2 linked regions of the Pelodiscus sinensis genome follow. The protein of the gene in region 1 purifies or fractionates together with the protein of each later gene. This does not show direct contact. Links are inferred from orthologs where the notes say so. Each region holds a gene or a part of one and is shown on either strand. Other genes may lie near its edges.

The links.
Region 2: the proteins of MECOM (region 1) and SUV39H1 purify together in Homo sapiens (affinity purification with western blotting; 3 studies listed by BioGRID). This does not show direct contact. The link is inferred for Pelodiscus sinensis from reciprocal best matches to the Homo sapiens genes MECOM and SUV39H1.

What each region holds. Positions count from the first base shown.
Region 1 is NC_134720.1:38,257,489-38,265,648, reverse strand, and holds the start of MECOM (histone-lysine N-methyltransferase MECOM), read left to right. Parts: upstream 1-4,973; 5' UTR 4,974-5,107; coding exon 5,108-5,144; intron 5,145-7,402; exon of another isoform or gene 7,403-7,511; intron 7,512-7,751; exon of another isoform or gene 7,752-7,820; intron 7,821-8,160.
Region 2 is NW_027466045.1:208,330-216,699, reverse strand, and holds the start of SUV39H1 (histone-lysine N-methyltransferase SUV39H1), read right to left. Parts: upstream 3,275-8,370; 5' UTR 3,144-3,274; coding exon 3,125-3,143; intron 1,889-3,124; coding exon 1,743-1,888; intron 558-1,742; coding exon 1-557. Other genes in the region: actin nucleation-promoting factor WAS, read right to left, coding at 5,425-5,480, 5,566-5,671, 6,010-6,431, 6,654-6,807, 8,088-8,130. UniProt on the Homo sapiens protein: Histone methyltransferase that specifically trimethylates 'Lys-9' of histone H3 using monomethylated H3 'Lys-9' as substrate. Also weakly methylates histone H1 (in vitro).

The sequences.
Region 1 (8,160 bases):
CAAAACCCCAGCGTCTTAAAACAACCTCTATATTTATGTGTCCATCTAGCGGGGCTGTTCCTCCCGCACAAAGTCAGCCATTTACACGCGCCGTGATTGCGCGGAGCAATCATTAGCCTCTTAACTTCTCTCCGAAGACTAGCAGACTAATAGTAATTCAGTTGCGTGAAGGCCTCTAACATTTGTTACTCTGATTTAAAGTCATTTAAAGAGAGAGGCGAACAATCCACATCGAGTAAAATCTCCTTCCGGATTAGCACAGAGCAGGGGACAAACACAATGTTTGAATAAATACATGATAATAGTTTTGCTAAGGAATCCGGTAAGTTATAGGAAGGAAAATTAAATGTCCGGTGCTTTACAACACGGCATGTTTTACAAGGGGGCAGGAAACTGTGAAGAAAATATATTTGCTTTTAATGTTGCTTTTCATTGAGGTGAGCGCTTTATGCCGACATGGAGTGAAAGTTTAATTGAACGAGATCGCCGATTCCATATAGCTCGGGACTTTTTTGTTTGTTTTATTGTTTGAAAAGTAACCATTAGGGGAGAGAACTTAAAACCAGAAAAGATCGCGTTCCCCGATGCAATTTCTCCAATCTCAGAGAAGTAAATAAAGGCACATGTTTTAACACACTACTAAGGTAGCACAGTCTTAATCCTATTATATTATTTTTCTCTTGTTTGGATATTTTAAGCCAGCCTTTCCCACTGTTTTAAAGCAAAGCAGACAGCTTAAAGCGGACATCTAATGAAGCAGGCATTTTCCACTGGGAAACTCCTAGTGTTTTCCTTTCTTTTTAGAATACCAGACAAGGGGAAAAAGTGCAATCTGCCCATTGATTAAAGCCTACGTATTTGTCTTTAGGCATATCGGGTTTATCCAAACTTTCGTGTGTGTGTCTCTTTCCCCCCTTTTCTGTGCTTTTGTAAAGTAGCCCCATCCAGCAATGATAAATATCCCTGTTGATCACTTGATTGATTACCTCTCTGAAAGGTCACGCGGGCTTGCAGTAATTTCCTTTTGCCTAAGGCTCCCTTTTCACTTTTACTCCAGCACGACAGCTCCAAGTATACGGGATCTTTATTTTTTTTATTTTAACCCCTAAATCGCTCCCCGAAAACAATGCGTTGGAGAAAATGGCAAGAAAATAAACTCTCCTCGTCTCCATTACACACCCAGCTCTTTCACTCCCCTCCCTCCGCACGGCAATGTATTCTGTACATTAGTGTTTAATAGATACGGAACTTGCAAGTAAACTCATAGTCTCCTGGGTCTGAATTTCACGTTTGTGAGTCTCCCTCCCCTTTTCTCCTGTGGACTGAGAATTCGGATTTAAACAACCAGACAAGCTATTAATTTATCCATGCTTCCCAGGGTCTTGAACCCAATTAATTTCTAATAATTACAGCCCAAGGGGGCTAGAGAGATCCCTCTGCCTCTTTCTAGCCTTGCCACTTCACGGCATCGAGGCCAGCATATAATAATAAAGTGTATATTTTGAAAGTGATCTGCAGAACAGTGAGTTATTGCAATGAATAAAAATTGTTTCCATTTTGGCTAATTGAACCCATGGCTGAAAGCTGAGTTCTGAGACTAAATAAAGAGGACTGTTTCATTTCAACAAGCACTGAAAACCCCTGCATAGCTTTTTGGTCACCCAGCAAGAGGTTTAATTTCTTAACAGCAAAGCAGAAATCAAGCGTTGGGTAAACAGTATTAATAATTGCATTACAATGATTAAATTAATCTTACTGGTAGCTAGGAGAATATAGGTTGAGACTGAATCACACGATGTAAAGTTCACTGCACAAAGACAATAATAGCACAACAAATACCTCGATGAAGAATTCCAACTTGCCTCCAAATAGACGGAGGAGCTTATTCAATTATGTGAGGAAGGGAAAATTTCCTGTTATATGGAATACATTGAAACGTGAGGGTTGCTTTCCCCCACACTCTCAGCGTGTATTAAAATAGATTTCATCCCTCTTTTTTTAAATATTTTTTTCGTGGCTCTGATTCTACTACAAACACATACACTCAACAATTTTACTATCCACTAGGTGCCCATTTTCCAACGTGAAGGGAATTGAGAGCTAGAAACTCTTAAAAACGTGACTAACCGAAATGAAACGGATTTCTAGTGGGTCTACCAGGGAATTCTTTGGGAGGGTGATAAACTTTATGAAAGTTCTGCCTGCTACTGACAGAGAGACCAGTCATCAGAAAAGCTGTTTGATGCAACCGAAATGAAAATCTAGATGTTTGCTGGGTATTCGGGAACACAGAGAGACACCTGTTCGGGGTCTTGTGGTCGCTTGGGACTTTAAACAGGTGAAACTGACAAGCTATGGCGTTTAGCGAGTAAGAGCTGGTGTCTTCCAAGGTCAAGAGAACTAAGTGCTAAAAAGAGGTTATATCTGTCTTCGGTTTAAAATATGTTGAATAAATATATATGTCACAGGAAGATGTATAAATACAGACGCTTACTTTTCTTGCGCAGATGTGCTGCGAGGGGCCAAGAGGTTGTTTAAATAATCGCAGTAAGTCTGCAAAGCAAGTGATAGTTTACTGTTTTGGTTGTGTTCGTGATGTTTTGGATCTCAGAGAAAAGCTAGTGAAATATACTTCACAATGGACAGTTACGTTGGGGGGTGTTGCTAAAAAAAGTTTGTTAACGTTCTTAGACATGCTCGACGAGGTTTCGAATTTGAGTTCGCTTATTCATCTTTATAAGAAACTCTTTTTAAGAATCCGACAGAAAACCATGTCTGATAGAGAAGGAAGGAGGTTTAGTGACAGAGAGCCTAAACGTTTTTTTCTTCTTTTCCAGAATTAATTAGTTTGTTCTCCCTGCCCGGTTCCCCCACCCCTTGTGGGCTGTACTCCCAGCCCAATGCTTTCCATAATAACCTTTTGTTGAGCTGATCAGTTAATCCACCGGGTATCACTTCATATCCTTTCACCTGGGAACCAAAGTATTTCCAATCATTCCTAAATAGAGGTCAGACGAGGAAAATCATTACAGCACACACACTACACCCCCCCCCCTCCATACTCCCCACTAGACACCGACATTGCGGGTAGGTGGGTGAGTCACTGTGGCTCTCCCGGCGGACTAGCCGGTAAGAAATGTTCTGAATGCCCCGCTTCCTAGCGTGCCATACCTCATGGACTGGCAAGGCTGCGGGGCACAGACCCAAGCAGGGTGCGCGTCGGGTGATGTTGCTTTTGAGTTTCTCGGTTACACCACGAGTGGGGGGTGGGTGGGGAAGCAGGGCAATAAACAGGTGACTGCAGAGGGAGGAGGAGAGAAGTACAGAAGTTGAGTCGTTTTATAGCTACTTTTGTTGAAGTTCTGCGGTAGTGCAGCTTGGTGTGCTAAGCTTGCCTTACCAAGAAGAGGCTCCTCTTTCCTTCACCCCACACTCGGCTTTCTCCTACAGAGGGGTCGGGCTTTATTAGTCCTCCCTCTAGATTACTGAATTTCCCCTACACAAAAAGCTGCTTTTTTATCTATAATAATTATGAGGCTCAAGAAATACGCTCTCCAATGGGATTCCAAATATTTGTGCCTCATTTGGAGAGGGGAGGTGAAGTGGGGTAGTGTTTCATATGAGAGATTCCCTTTGCCCATCGTTAATTTCAGTTTGTTTCGTGCGTGTGTGTATCATCCAGGTGTTGGGTGAATACGTTTCTGTGGAATGGACAAAGGCTCGTAGCGTTCCGAAATTTGCTGCCATGATCTAAACAAAGTTCAGTGGTTGTTTCTAAAACAAACACCTCTTCATTAAGGTCATTGTGATCTGCAGGGTTATATCCTGTTGGCTATTGTAAGCTTACGGCAGAGCTGCAGAGAGAGGTGTTATTTCATCCTAAAATGGCCATGATTCTGACAGTGAACACCAGCAGGATTTTTTTTTTTGTAAAGAGAGAGTGATGCTTAAGATTTTATTAAAACCAAAACTTGAGCAGCATGTATGTACTGGCACAGTACCGAGTCTGAAAGATTGTAATTTTCTTTTATGGTGTCTGGCAGGATTTGCAACAGATATTAATGGGAACATAAATAGCGGATAGACTGTATTGAACAAAACTGTTTAATGCAAGGAGGTTGTACCAGAGGAAAATCTATGTAGTTTGGATTGATTCATACCTTGAACAGAGCCACCCCTTACAGGAGTTCCCAGTTTCAGCGTGTCCCCTTGTTGATTGGAAAACCCTGTAATTAAAACAGATTTAAACAATGTGGGTTATTTCTAAAGTGCCTTTTTTACCCAGCGGGTGAAAATTGAACTCAACTGAAGGTGCGAGACGGTGTGTGAGAGTTTGGAAGAGTATATAATTTAATTACATGCCTACATAAAATACACAGTTGAATTACATCTGTGTCTGTGTATATCCACAAATCTATGATGATTGCGACAGGGTAGGAGTAAACGAGTGAAATGTTGCAAAGTATCATTAATATTACATCAAAAGTTAGAAAAAGAGCCATTTATTCTACTCTCAAACTCTGGAACAGGGAGATTTCTTCTGTTATGAATAATCTGCCTCCCCCGCCTCCCACAGAGTAAATGGCAAGTGGCTCAGAACCCATTGCCGAGCAGATCAGGACAGGAAAAAGCTCTAGATGCGCTATCCCGATGCTGGTTTATTAATTAATAATAATAATGGCTAGGAACTGGGTGGAGTTGATGGCGGAATAAAGAAGAATCCAGGCATCTGGCTGTTTGCGACTGGATCTCCCTGGCCAGGTTGTTTTTATTGGAGAAGAAGAGGTGTCCTCGCTCCATTCCTCGGGAGGCCTCCTCCCTCCGCCGATTGCCATCTGACAAGATCCTGAAATCAAAGTGATAGATCGCTCCAAACTTTTTTTGGCGGCGCTGAGATGTTGAAGAGTGGTGGTGGGGGGGAGCAGCCCGTGCGCATGTGCGAAGGTGTCCAAACTGACAATGCTGGAGAGATAGCGAGCCTGGATTGAGAGAAAGAGAGTGTGTGTGAGAGAGAGTGAGAGAGAGAGAGGGGGAGAAAAAGGAGGAAAAGATCCAAGAGGACCCCCCCTACCCCCACCCACCAAAACAGCGGCGCGGGACTGGCAACATGAGATCCAAAGGCAGGGCAAGGAAACTGGCCACAAGTAGGTGCAATATCCCTTTCCATTGGCTTTTCACCCGCGCTCTGCCATGTTGCATGGAATGGCTGATGCGCCGGGATGGGGGCGCAAAGCAACCTGCAACATTCCAGCCCCAGCACCCCTGCTCCTGAGCCCAGCCGGGCGCGCATCCCCGGGAGCGGCGCAGCGGCGGGGACAGCGGGCGCGGGGTCAGGCTTGGGGAGAGGCGGGGTGGAGGGGGGGAGGAGAATTGCAGGCAGCCCCCCAGCAGGCAGATCGCTGGTCTGGAGGGGGTGCTTGTCTAGAGAGAGGGGGAGGCTGCGGGGTCGCTGCGGAGGCGCTGCCCGGCAGCTGGGGCTGGCTGCGGAGGCGCAGGGAGGCGGAGAAGGAGTTGAGGAAAAGTTCAGAGGCGAGCGCTGGAAGTTGAGCGGTGGCTGCTGCCGCCGGGGCTGCGAGGAGGAGCTAGGACCCTAGTGGGCGCTGTCGGCTCTCTGCAAGCGCAGGAGGGGAGGGGTGTCCGGAGAAAGGGGGGGGGGGGGGGAGTTAGGCGGCAGGTCTTACTCCGAGCTACCAGCCGGCAAAGCAGGGGAGTCTAGGCAGGTGGGGGGGAGAGAGGGCGCAAGGGCTCGCTCTCTCCCAGGAGGGCGTCCTAGCTCGTGCTCTGCACTTGTACCTAGCGGAACTTTGCGAAGGAGGGCGGGTCAGGGACCTTCCAGCTCCGACCCCCCCCCCCCACCGTTTTCTCCACACTGAGGTGTGTGGTTGCGACTTGTGAGCCCAGGAAGCGCCCGGGCTCCTTCTCCTCTTGCATTGGTGGTAGGGAGGAGGCGCAGAAAGTCATGATTTTATTTTATTATTATTTCATTATTTTAGTTGAAGGATCAGCTGGGAACTCTGCACTAATGGGGGCCCCCCGCCCCCTTCCTAGGCACCCAGGAAAGGGGAAGCTGTGGGGGGAATTTTCCCGTTTCTGTCCTGGGTGCAGCGTTGCAGCAGCTGTCAAAGGCAGCGCGCCCCGAGTGACAGAGGGCAAGGCTGGTTGAGCAGATTGGGATGCCTGTGGTTTTAGCGTAAGTTAAACTCGCCCTGCGCTGGGCAAAGGTGCAAACAGACTCGCGCCGGATCTCTCTGAAGGCGCGAGGTAGCAGGGCGCTGGGGATCCCGCGCTGCGCAACGAGGCCGCACGGTTTCGTTCTTCAAGTGCTTTCCTGCAACTTTCCACTATGTCTCCTCCGGATCGAGTGTTCTGGTCGGGTTAAAAAAATAACACCGAATAACACCCTTGGTCTCAGCACTAGCCCAGGGCGGTGGTGTTCGGCCGTGACTCCTCCGAAGTGGAGTTAGTTGGGGAGAGGGAGAAGTGATTTGGGCCATCAGTGCAGTCAGTCTGGAATCACACGCTGAAGTTGGTCTGCATGCTATAATTTCAGGCGCTTTACTTACAGTTCATTCAGTTCGGCTGCCCGAGGTCTGTATTGTGTCGGCTTGGGTCTCAGCAATCGACATAAATACGGCTGTGTTACAGGCACTCCATCTTCTCCTTTTTGACAGTGATCATGATATTTTCATTGCAACAGTTGCCAAAAAAAGTAGTCTTCGAGTCTTCTTTTAAATCCAAGGGATGGCTTTTATTTGTGGTTGTGACGAGGTATATAACATAGGCAAGTTCCAGTTGATGCGTGTCTCAATGACAACTTTCTTTTCCATCTGAAATTGTGCCGGAAAACGGCAGATGAAACGTTTCATAACATAATATATAACCAATCGTCGGTTTTATGTCTACTAGTGGGGGAAAATGTGAACAGAGAAAAGGAAAAGCAAAAGATCTACTTTTCTGTGAAACTTAACGACAGCAAAAGTACCTATATTTCATTAGCTGATTTTAAACTGGATCCATCAACACAATTTGGAAACAAATAAGCTTCCAGGACATCATCCCTGCTTTCAGGCTAATTGTGAAATTCTTGTATTACACTCGCTAGCAAATGTGAATATGCATTTCCCTTAACGCTTCTGGACTGCTGCAGCTTTGCAGTGCTTAGATCTGACCATTTTCAAACTTTCTTCTTTGAGTTGCATGTCTTGGCAGTTGCTGCGGCGGCAGAAGCTAGACGCGTTGCATTGTATAGTCTATCGGTTACAATACGCTCATAAAGGAAATCTTACGAAAAAGTTGAGATTTTTGCATGTTGAAACCTCTTTCCTTTCTCCTTCGAATAGCGTGTGAGGTTCCTGGCGTGTGTGTGCGCGCGTTAGTGTGTGTGTGTGTGTGTGTGGAGCGTGGGGGGGGGGGATTATTGGTGACCCCTGTAATTCAATCATTCAACAAGAAAAGTTTTCAGTTTTTGGTTTCGTCCTGTGACCCCTTCTCTTCATTATTTTATTGCGGAGCTGTGGAAAAAAAATTGTGGCTGTAACTTTTGGAAAAGCAACCGATTCATGATACAATTGGAGTTGTCTTATTCCACTTTAACTTCTTTGAGTGTAAAACAAACTAGAGACAACACCCCCACAAAATGTGACTACACCACGAGTCGGGAAAGGTCTGCTCATAATTAAACAAGGGGAATTAGCTGCTTATATTTTCTCTGTATATATTGAAATAGCAAGTTAAGGGTTTTTTTTGCTTACCTAAAAAAATCTCAGAAGAAACAAAAGAAGCCAAGCTGCGAATAGTTAGTGAATATTTTATACCTCCAGCTGTAAAAATAAAGGAAAAAGGGGCAAGATATCTTTTTTAAGGCATATTCAAAATGAAGTCTGAATACAGTGTGCAAATTACAAAGGTCTCGACCAGTCTCAGTGACAGTAGAGATACTGTAATTTTGCAAATTTTTAAAGTTACAGGTTGCACCTGCACGGCGATAGTAATTAACAGTGACCATCACTGGTGATATAAGTGTGTCACACTGTGGCTTTTTTTTTTTTGGTCCGACTGATGAAACTGTAACCCTGAATGAAAATCACTTCTGAAAAGTGACACTTCACAGAACTCAACCCCGTGCACCGAACAAGTAGTGCAGTTTAAACCACTGGTAGC
Region 2 (8,370 bases), on another chromosome or scaffold:
CGCTGCACCACACGGTTGGAGCACTCTGCCCCGCAGCGGCACCGAGAGTTGCACTCGTAGATGGGCAGCCCCGCCCGGATGCGGACCTGGCCCAGCTCGTTGTAGGCGAACTTGTGGTGGGAGGCACCGGGGCAGCAACAGCCGGCGGCGGCCTCGGCCAGACAGTTGCGACACTCGCAGCCCACCGCCACCTGGGTGAGGGAGATGCCCTCGCCCACCTTGTACTCGTTGATGTAGATGAAGTCCCGGGGTGGCCCGTCCAGATCCACCTCGTTTTCCACCACGATGTGCCCCTTGTGGTTGCGCTTGGCGTTCAGTTGGCGCTCCCAGTGCCGCAGGGCCCGCCGCTGCTTGGCCTTCTGCACCACGTAGTTGGCCACGCCCTGGTCCAGCCAACGGGCATTCTTCTTGGGCTTGCCGTCCCGCCGGATCCAGGCCTGCTCCAGGTCCTTGTGGAACTGCTTCAGCAGGCCCATGCAGTGCAGGTTCTTCCGCGGCTCCCAGGTGTTCTCGGACTCTGGGTAACCACGCCACTTCACCAGGTAGAACTCCTCCTCCTGCCAGCAGAGCCCCCATCAGCCAGGCCCTCTCTCGGGGTGGAACCCGGGCTCCCAGCTTCCGGCTCCCCTCCCAGAGCCAGGGAGAGAATCCAGGAGTCCTGGCTCCTGGCCATCCCCCCGTGCACACACACTGTTCTAACCACTGGACACCCCCCAGAGAGAAGCTAGGAATTTTAGATGGCTTCCACAGGGTCTTTACCAGACACACTCCAGCACCCGGCTGTTTATGCACCAGGCCTGTCTCAGAGCCCACCCAGCGGAGGTAGAGAGAGGAAGGTGCAGGCAGAATCAGTCCCAGGCAGCGCCATGTGTTTGGGGGTGCCAGGCAGAGGGGGTGAGAATGAGAAGGGTGCTGGAGGAGGAGATCAGAGACAGAACACTGGTAGGCAGAGGGGAGCAGGATGGGGGGGGGGGGCCCAAGGGAAGGAGATTGTGCTGCATGAGAAATCAGGAGTAGAGGAGGATCCTACCAAGGGTGGGGGGTAAGAACTGGCGGCTCAGGGGAAGGGGATCTGGACTATGACGGGGAACTCAAGGCTAGAAGAGCTGGGCTGTGGGGGAGATTGCAAGCAGGGGTTTCTAAACTCTGGGAGTGATCCGGGCTATAGGGTGGGGAAACTGGAGGCTGGAGGATACAGGCTGAAAGGGGAAGGAAAGTATGGGAGGGGGAACTGAACACAGAGGTTTCTGGGGATCTGGGTTTAAGGGCAGGAATTAGAGACAGGGAAATCCAGGCTGCTGGGGGTGGAAACTGGAGACAGGGGGATTGGAGGTAGGGGGAATCCGGGCTGCCGGCGAGAGGGTGGGGGAGGAACAGGGAATCTGGGCTGCCCGAAGGGCGGGGGGGGTGAGGAATTAGAGATAGGGGGAATCCAGGCTGCCGGGGTGGGGGCAAGACAATTGGAGGTGGGAGGAATCCAGTCAGGGGAGAGGAATTGGAGGCCGGCTGCAGTGGGAATTGGATGTGGGGGTTTCTGGGCTCTCGGGGGAATCCAAGCTGCGGAGGGGAATTGGAGTCGGGAGATCTGGGCTGTGGGGCGAAAGAATCAGAGGCAAGAAAGAGTGAGGCTGCGGAGGGGAATTGGAAGCAGGGGGTCGGGCTGCAGGAGTGTGGGGCTTTCCCTGCTGCAGGGGTGGGGATCCTGGAAGGGATCGGGGTTGCGGGCTGGCAGACGGACTCACCCGCACTCTCTTGTAGTCGCACAGGAACTCCACCTCGAACTGGCTGAGGTTCCTGCGCGTGATGCCCAGCGAGGGGCAGCAAACCCTCTCCAGCCGGCACAGGTCCTGCAGCTGCGACCACGAGGACTTGCAGTATACGACACAGCCTGCGGGCACAAGGGACGACTAGGGGGCTGGTACTGTCCTGGCAGGGAGGGAGCCCAGGGCTGGGGTTGTAGGGAGCTGCAGGTTGGGTGTGAGGGGCCGGGGCAGGGGGAGCGGCTCACCCATGCAGAGCACGTGGTTAGCATGAGCGCCCAGGGAGAGGTCGCCGTGCCTAGTGAGTACTGGTGTGAGCATCTGCTGGGGGTCAAGGGTTCACCCACATCAAGGTGTGGCCGGGCGGCTGGTCTGAGCATCCAGGAGGTGGCCACCCCGTATCCAAAGGTCTGTGGGTGTCCAGGGGCTCACACCATCCTGGGGCTGGTGTGACCGTCCGGAAAAGTCAGTCTGAGTGTCTGGGGATGGATTGCCTTGTGCCAGGGCGTGAGCGTCCACGGCAGGTCACCCCAAACCAGGGGGCTGGCACAAGCACACGGGGCATCAACCCATGTCGGGGCAGGTGTGTGCCCAGAGGGGTCGCACCGTGTCAGGGTTAGTGTGAGTGTACCGGGGGGGGGGGGGGCAGGTTGGGGTGGGCGGGAGCATACGGGGGGGATGCGACAGGTCGGGAGCGTACGGGGGGGGTTGCCAGGTTCAGGGGGGTGTGGGAGCGTATGGGGGGGGTTGCCAGGTTCGGGGGGGTGGGAGCGTACGGGGGGGGTTGCCAGGTTCGGGGGGGGCGGGAGCGTACGGGGGGGTTGCCAGGTTCGGGGGGGGTAGCGTACGGGGGGGTTGCCAGGTTCGGGGGGGGCGGGAGCGTACGGGGGGGGTTGCCAGGTTCGGGGGGGGTAGCGTACGGGGGGGTTGCCAGGTTCGGGAGGGGGGTTGCCAGGTCGGGGGGGGGCAGCAGCGTACGGGGGGCTGGAGCACATGGGGGGGCAATGCCAGCCTGCCAGGCAGGGGTGCCCTGTGCCAGGAAGTGAGGGGGCCCCTCGGGGCCCCTGCGGGTCACGTGCGCCCCTCCCCCCGCCCACTACAGGCTGCCTGGTTTCCCGCCCTGCGCGCGAGCAGCAGCCCCGCGCCCGTTCCAGTCGCGCGCGCGCTCAGACTCGCCCCTGCCCCCCCCCCTTTAACGGTCGCCGCGGGCCGCCTCGCGCGCGGGGAAAGAAGGCGGGGGGGGGGTGGGGAGAGACTCTCGCGCCGCAACTCGTAGCAGCCCCCCTCCCTGCGCCGCCCCCTCCCGCCGCGCGCCCTGCTCGGCCTCGCGCCACGCTCCGCGCGCGCCGGCTTCCCTCGCTCACCTTTTAAATTTTCCGCCATCTTTTTTTTTTCCCCCTGCAGCCACTGGGGCCGCCCGAAACTTTTCCTCCCAGGGGGCGTGGCCGAAGCGCGGGGGGGAGGGGAGAGCGACGTGCCCCGCCCCCTCCACCGCGGGCGTTCTTATTGGGTGGCCGACCTGACTGACGTGCCCGCCAGCCAATGGCCGCCGGAGGCCCCGGCAGCGGGCCTCATTTGCATCTCCCACAGTGCCCCGCGCCGCCGTGCACCCTCACGACTCGCGGAAATGGCCCCAAAGGCACCAAATTAACCCGTTTTCTCCCAGTGCGAGTCACAGGCCGCCATGCGGGGCCAGCCCGACGCCACGCAGGGTGGGGAAGGGAGAGAAAGGTCCTCACCCTAGCCTAGAAGTGTCTCCCCAGCCCTAAACACCATGTCCCCTCTCCCCCACAATGCAATTCTCCTCAGCCAATGAGGGTCCCTGGCACTAGTGGGGGATGGGGGCTGGTGTCACCCATGCGCCAACGTCAATTGGGGGGGCTGGTGTCACCCATGCGCCGACGTCAATGCTGGGGGGGGGCGGTTGGTGTCACCCATGCGCCAACGTCAATGCTGGGGGGGGGCGGTTGGTGTCACCCATGCGCCAACGTCTATGCTGGGGGGGGGAGGCTGGTGTTACCCAGGCACCAACGTGGTGGTGGGGAAGCTGGCATAACCCATGCGCCAATATCAGTGCTGGGAGGGAAGGTTGATGTCACCCATGCGCCAACGCCAATGCTGGGTCCCCAGGCATCACCAGCAAGGTGCCAATGACAAGGCTGGGGAAAGGGTGAGAAACTCCAACACCAATGACAAAAGCCACCTTGGGAGCCGGAGGTGCGCGGGGGGGGGGGGGGGGGGTTCCAAGTGCTTGGCTCCCGGGCTGGCACTCTGAGCTGTTGCCCAGTCATGGGAAAGGAAAAACCTGGTTGGGTGGTTTTGCAGGGTGGGGCGCAAGGCCTGGTAAAACTAGACAGGAAAGGCCCCCCCCTGCCTCGTTCGCCAGTTCTGTGCCCCACCCCAGAAGCGGCTGCATCCCTCCGCCAGCCAAGCGAATGCCCCGTGCTTTGGGATTGCTGCCATGAAAGCAACTGGAGAAACAATTGATGGTAACTGTGTTTAATAAAAATCAAAGGAGCAACAATCGTTTTGTCTGGCTCAGTCTGCAGAGGGAGCCTGCAGCAAGACGACCCTTAAAGGTTAAAGCAACAGGGACAATAAACCCCTATTAAACAAATCAAAATTCATAGGCTTTTGATGGGTAAATCCCAGTCAATGTCCATTTCACCCACACACACAACCCCAGGGGGAAAGGCGCTTCTATTAATAACTGTCAAAACAGAGAGCTAGGCAAAGAAAAAACAAACCTGGCTGCTTGAGAACATGGTTGAATGTGAGCTGAGGCTATTGACTCAGCATTTGGGTGAAGGGTTTTTAAGCTTTCACTTTTCCATCTCAAACCCTCTAGGAAATCATTATTGCCTGACTCCCCCTCCCCACCCGCCTTCGAACTAACCGCGAGACGAGCCGTCAAACTGACGGAAAAGTAAAAGTCGAGATCCGAAACCAAATTAAAAACTCCATGGCGGCCAAGCCTTGAGATGAACAAGCCATAATTCACAAGCAATAAAACTAGGCGCTAGCTTTGCAGCTGCTCTGGGTGACAGTCGAAATGGAGATTATGTTTTTTTATGGCCCTCAGTGGCGTGGAAAATTCACCCCCGTTACCAAGCCGGCCTAAGCCCGCTTGGTAACGGGGGTGTGGAGGCGGCTAAGGATTCTTCCTTCCACCTCGCTACCGTCGCTCGGCAATCAGACCCTTTCAACGGGCTGTTGGAAGCGTCACCGCTCCTCCTGATCAAAGTCTCTTGTTTCCAGTCCTATCCCTCGGACACTGACCCAAACCAGCGGGTTTCAATCCCCCCTGAAGCCTGCACTGTTGACCCCTGGCGGCCGCCTGAGCCCCACATATCGGTGGCTCGGTTCCAGCTTGGCTTGTTTTTTAGGATTGGGTTGAGATGGAATCATGGAGCCAAGCGGGAAGGTGATGGGTTGGGTTGTTTCTGACACCAAAGAGGCCAGTGGAAACTGGGTTTGAAGGGGTGACAGGCGTGGAAGGGGGAGGCTGGGGGGATTCTGGGTAAAAGACGGGGCAGCCCACATCAGGCGAGAGCTGTCTTTATTAAAAAAGGGGCCAGGCGGGCACGGGAATCCCAGAGGCGAGGGGGCGGCATTGGTCTGTGGGAGGGGGTGCAGAAAAGGGGGGGGTTCCTGCAGCGGGGGCTCAGTCGTCCCATTCATCATCCTCATCCTCGTCCCCTCCGTTGTCCTCGCCTTCGTCTGCGGGAGGAAGAGGAGGGTGAGCGGGTGCAGGGGGCGGGGCGGGGGGAGGAGGGGGCCCCCGTGGCAGGTTGGGGCGACTCACCCGAGGAGTGGATCACTTTGCTCCGTTTCTGCATGACGTGCATGAGCGCCCCCACCAGGCCCTCGGAGCTCTGCGCGGGCGGCGGGGAGTCCAGCATCTCGGGGGTCTGCAAGGCAGGGGGGTCAGGGCCCGCAGCACCCATCCCCTGACCCCGCCACCCCGGCACTGCCGACCCCCTGCCACTTCCCCCACCCTCACCCAAAGCCTCCTCTAACTCCCCCCTCATCGCCCCACACAGCCAGCCGCCCCCTCCCCACCCTGCTCCCCTCAGTCCATATCCCACCCCGTCCTCTACTCCCTTAGCCCCCCATCGCCTCCTTCCCCACTCCCAGCCATCCCCCCACCCCTCACTTTTTCCATCCCTGCCCCCCATCACCTAACTCATCTCCCCTCTTCCCTTCCCTCATCCTGCCCCCCGTCTGCCCCACAGCCCACCCCACTCACCTTGTTGAGCTGGATGCCTTGGCGGATCTGGTCCAGCAGGGCCCCACGTCCCTTTGGGGCAGTAGGGGCCTGAACCCCGGGGGAGCTGAGCCCCCCTGAGGGAGGTGGGGGAGGAGGACAAGGTCCTGAAGAGACAGGAGGTGGAGGGGGTGGCGGGGGAGGTGGGGGTGGAGGAGCTGCCCCAGCAGGGGGCGGAGGAGGTGGGGGACCAGACCGGGAAGAAGGGGGAGGGGGCCCACGAGGGGGAGGCAGTTGTCCCCTGGGGGGCTGGGAGGGAACAGCCCCCCTGTTTGGTGCAGATGAGGGGGGCGGGGGGGCACCTGGAATGGGGGGCAATGGGCCAGACCTGCCCCTTCCTGAGGCTGGGGGTGGGGGGGGAAGGGGCCCAGACCGAGTCGGGGGAGGCGGAGGAGGTGCCGGACCTGTGGGGAGAAATAGCTGCAATTAAAACGAGGCCCTTCGCCCCACACCAAATCCCCTGAGGATTCCAAAGCGCCACATGGGGAGACTGAGATGCAGCCACCGCTGGGGCAGGGCAGAGGGAGAAAGGCTGCATATAACGCCAACCCCGAGAGGCAGCCCCCTCTGGGGAAGAGGAGCTGGGGAAAAGCGGCCGCATTTCATGTCCCAAAGGGAGGGCTCACCCTGGCGTCGAAGCTCCTCCTTCACAGCCTCCAGCCCGCCTTGGCCCTCGATGAAATCGTAGATGATCTTGGAGGTCTCTGCGTCGGTCAGCTGCGCCTCGCTGATCCCAGCCTGGGAGAAGAGCGTCTTCAGGTCGGGGTCCAGGTTATTCACCTAGGAGAGACACATGGAGAGGAAATCCAGAGACAGGCGATTGATGGATCATGCCTTAAATTAGCCCCGCCCTGTAGCCAGCACTAGGCCCCAGGCACCCCCTCATTCTGACCCCCTAAAATCCTGACCTCCGAAATGCAGCAGGCAGCTGGGGCTGTTCCTGAAAGGATCCAACTGGAAAGTTATGGCAGCTGTCCCACCCCAGAGCTGGCTTCATCTCCGTGCCAAGCAAGCCGTCCCCATGGTGTGTTATATGCAGCTGTTCCCAGCTGCCCTGCCCCAGAGATGGCTGCATCTCAGCGCCAGGGGAGCCTTCCCCATGTGGTTTTATATGGGGCTGATCCCAGTTGTCCCAGCCAAGAGGTGGTTGCATTTCAGCACCAGGTGAGCCTGCCCCAGGTGGTGTTATATAGGAGTGTTGCCACCCAGCCTACCCCAGTGGTGGCTGCATCTCAGCATCAGACGGGCCATCCCCTTGCGAAGTCTCGTGCCCAGATTATTGGCCGCTGCCTCCGAGGGCCGACAAAACACGGGGCCATCCACAGCCCCAAGCTGTGACACTCCACAGGCCTTCTGTTAATTCCCAACTGAGCCCCACGGAACCCATCCCATCTGGAGTCCAAAAACATCGGGGGGCTAGGACCAGGCCTTGCGCCAGCCGGATCCTGCTACCTGCAGCAGCGCCCCCAGCTGGCTGCGCCTTGCCCTTGTCCCGAGGGCATGCTCTAACCTGGCCGCTGCCAAGAATAGCCATGCTGCCAGTCCCCCAGTGCCTTGGGGGTAGGCTCAGAGCCAGGGATCTGCCCCTAAGGACAGGCAAAGATGCATGGGGAGAAAAAGATGTGTTTGGAAAAGGAGGGGGCACAGGGAGGCAGTATCTTAGGCAGTCCGGGCTCAAGTGAACTGCACGTTTGCTCCCCTAATGCTCCATGGGGATGACTCCCCATGCACTGAGTTGCAGCCACCTCTGGGGTGGGGCAGTTGGGGAACAGCTGCACATAACGCTGCTTTGGGATAGCTGATCTGACGCTAAGATGCAGCCACTTCAGGGGCAGAGCAGCAGGGGAACAGCCATGCACATCAATTGAAGCACAGTCACCCAGCACATCAAGTCCGGTAGTCACAAACACGAGGGAACACCCTTTCACTCCCTCCCCCCCATGCACAAACATTGCTAATGCCAAAGCTTTGCCCCCCAGCCTGTCCTTGGCCCCCTGCCCTGGGACCTCCCATCCCTTGGCCCACGGGGACAGCCCTCTGCTGTCTCTGGAGCTACATACATCAAAGCCGGTGGTGGGGTCCCATCCCACGTGGGTGACGTGCCTGTAAATGGAACAAAGATTAGCCAGGTGCCCTGCCCCGTTCCCTGCCCCCAAGCCAGCCAGCCCTTGTCTTGGGCCGGGCGGAAGCTGGCGCCCCCCGGAGGGGACAGGCCCCTGTCCCATTCCCTGCCCCCCAAGCCAGCCAGCCCTTGTCCTGGGCCGGGTGGGAGCTGGCACCCCCCGGAGGGGACAGGCCCCTGTCCCATTCCCCGCCCCCCAAGCCAGCCAGCCCTTGCCCTGA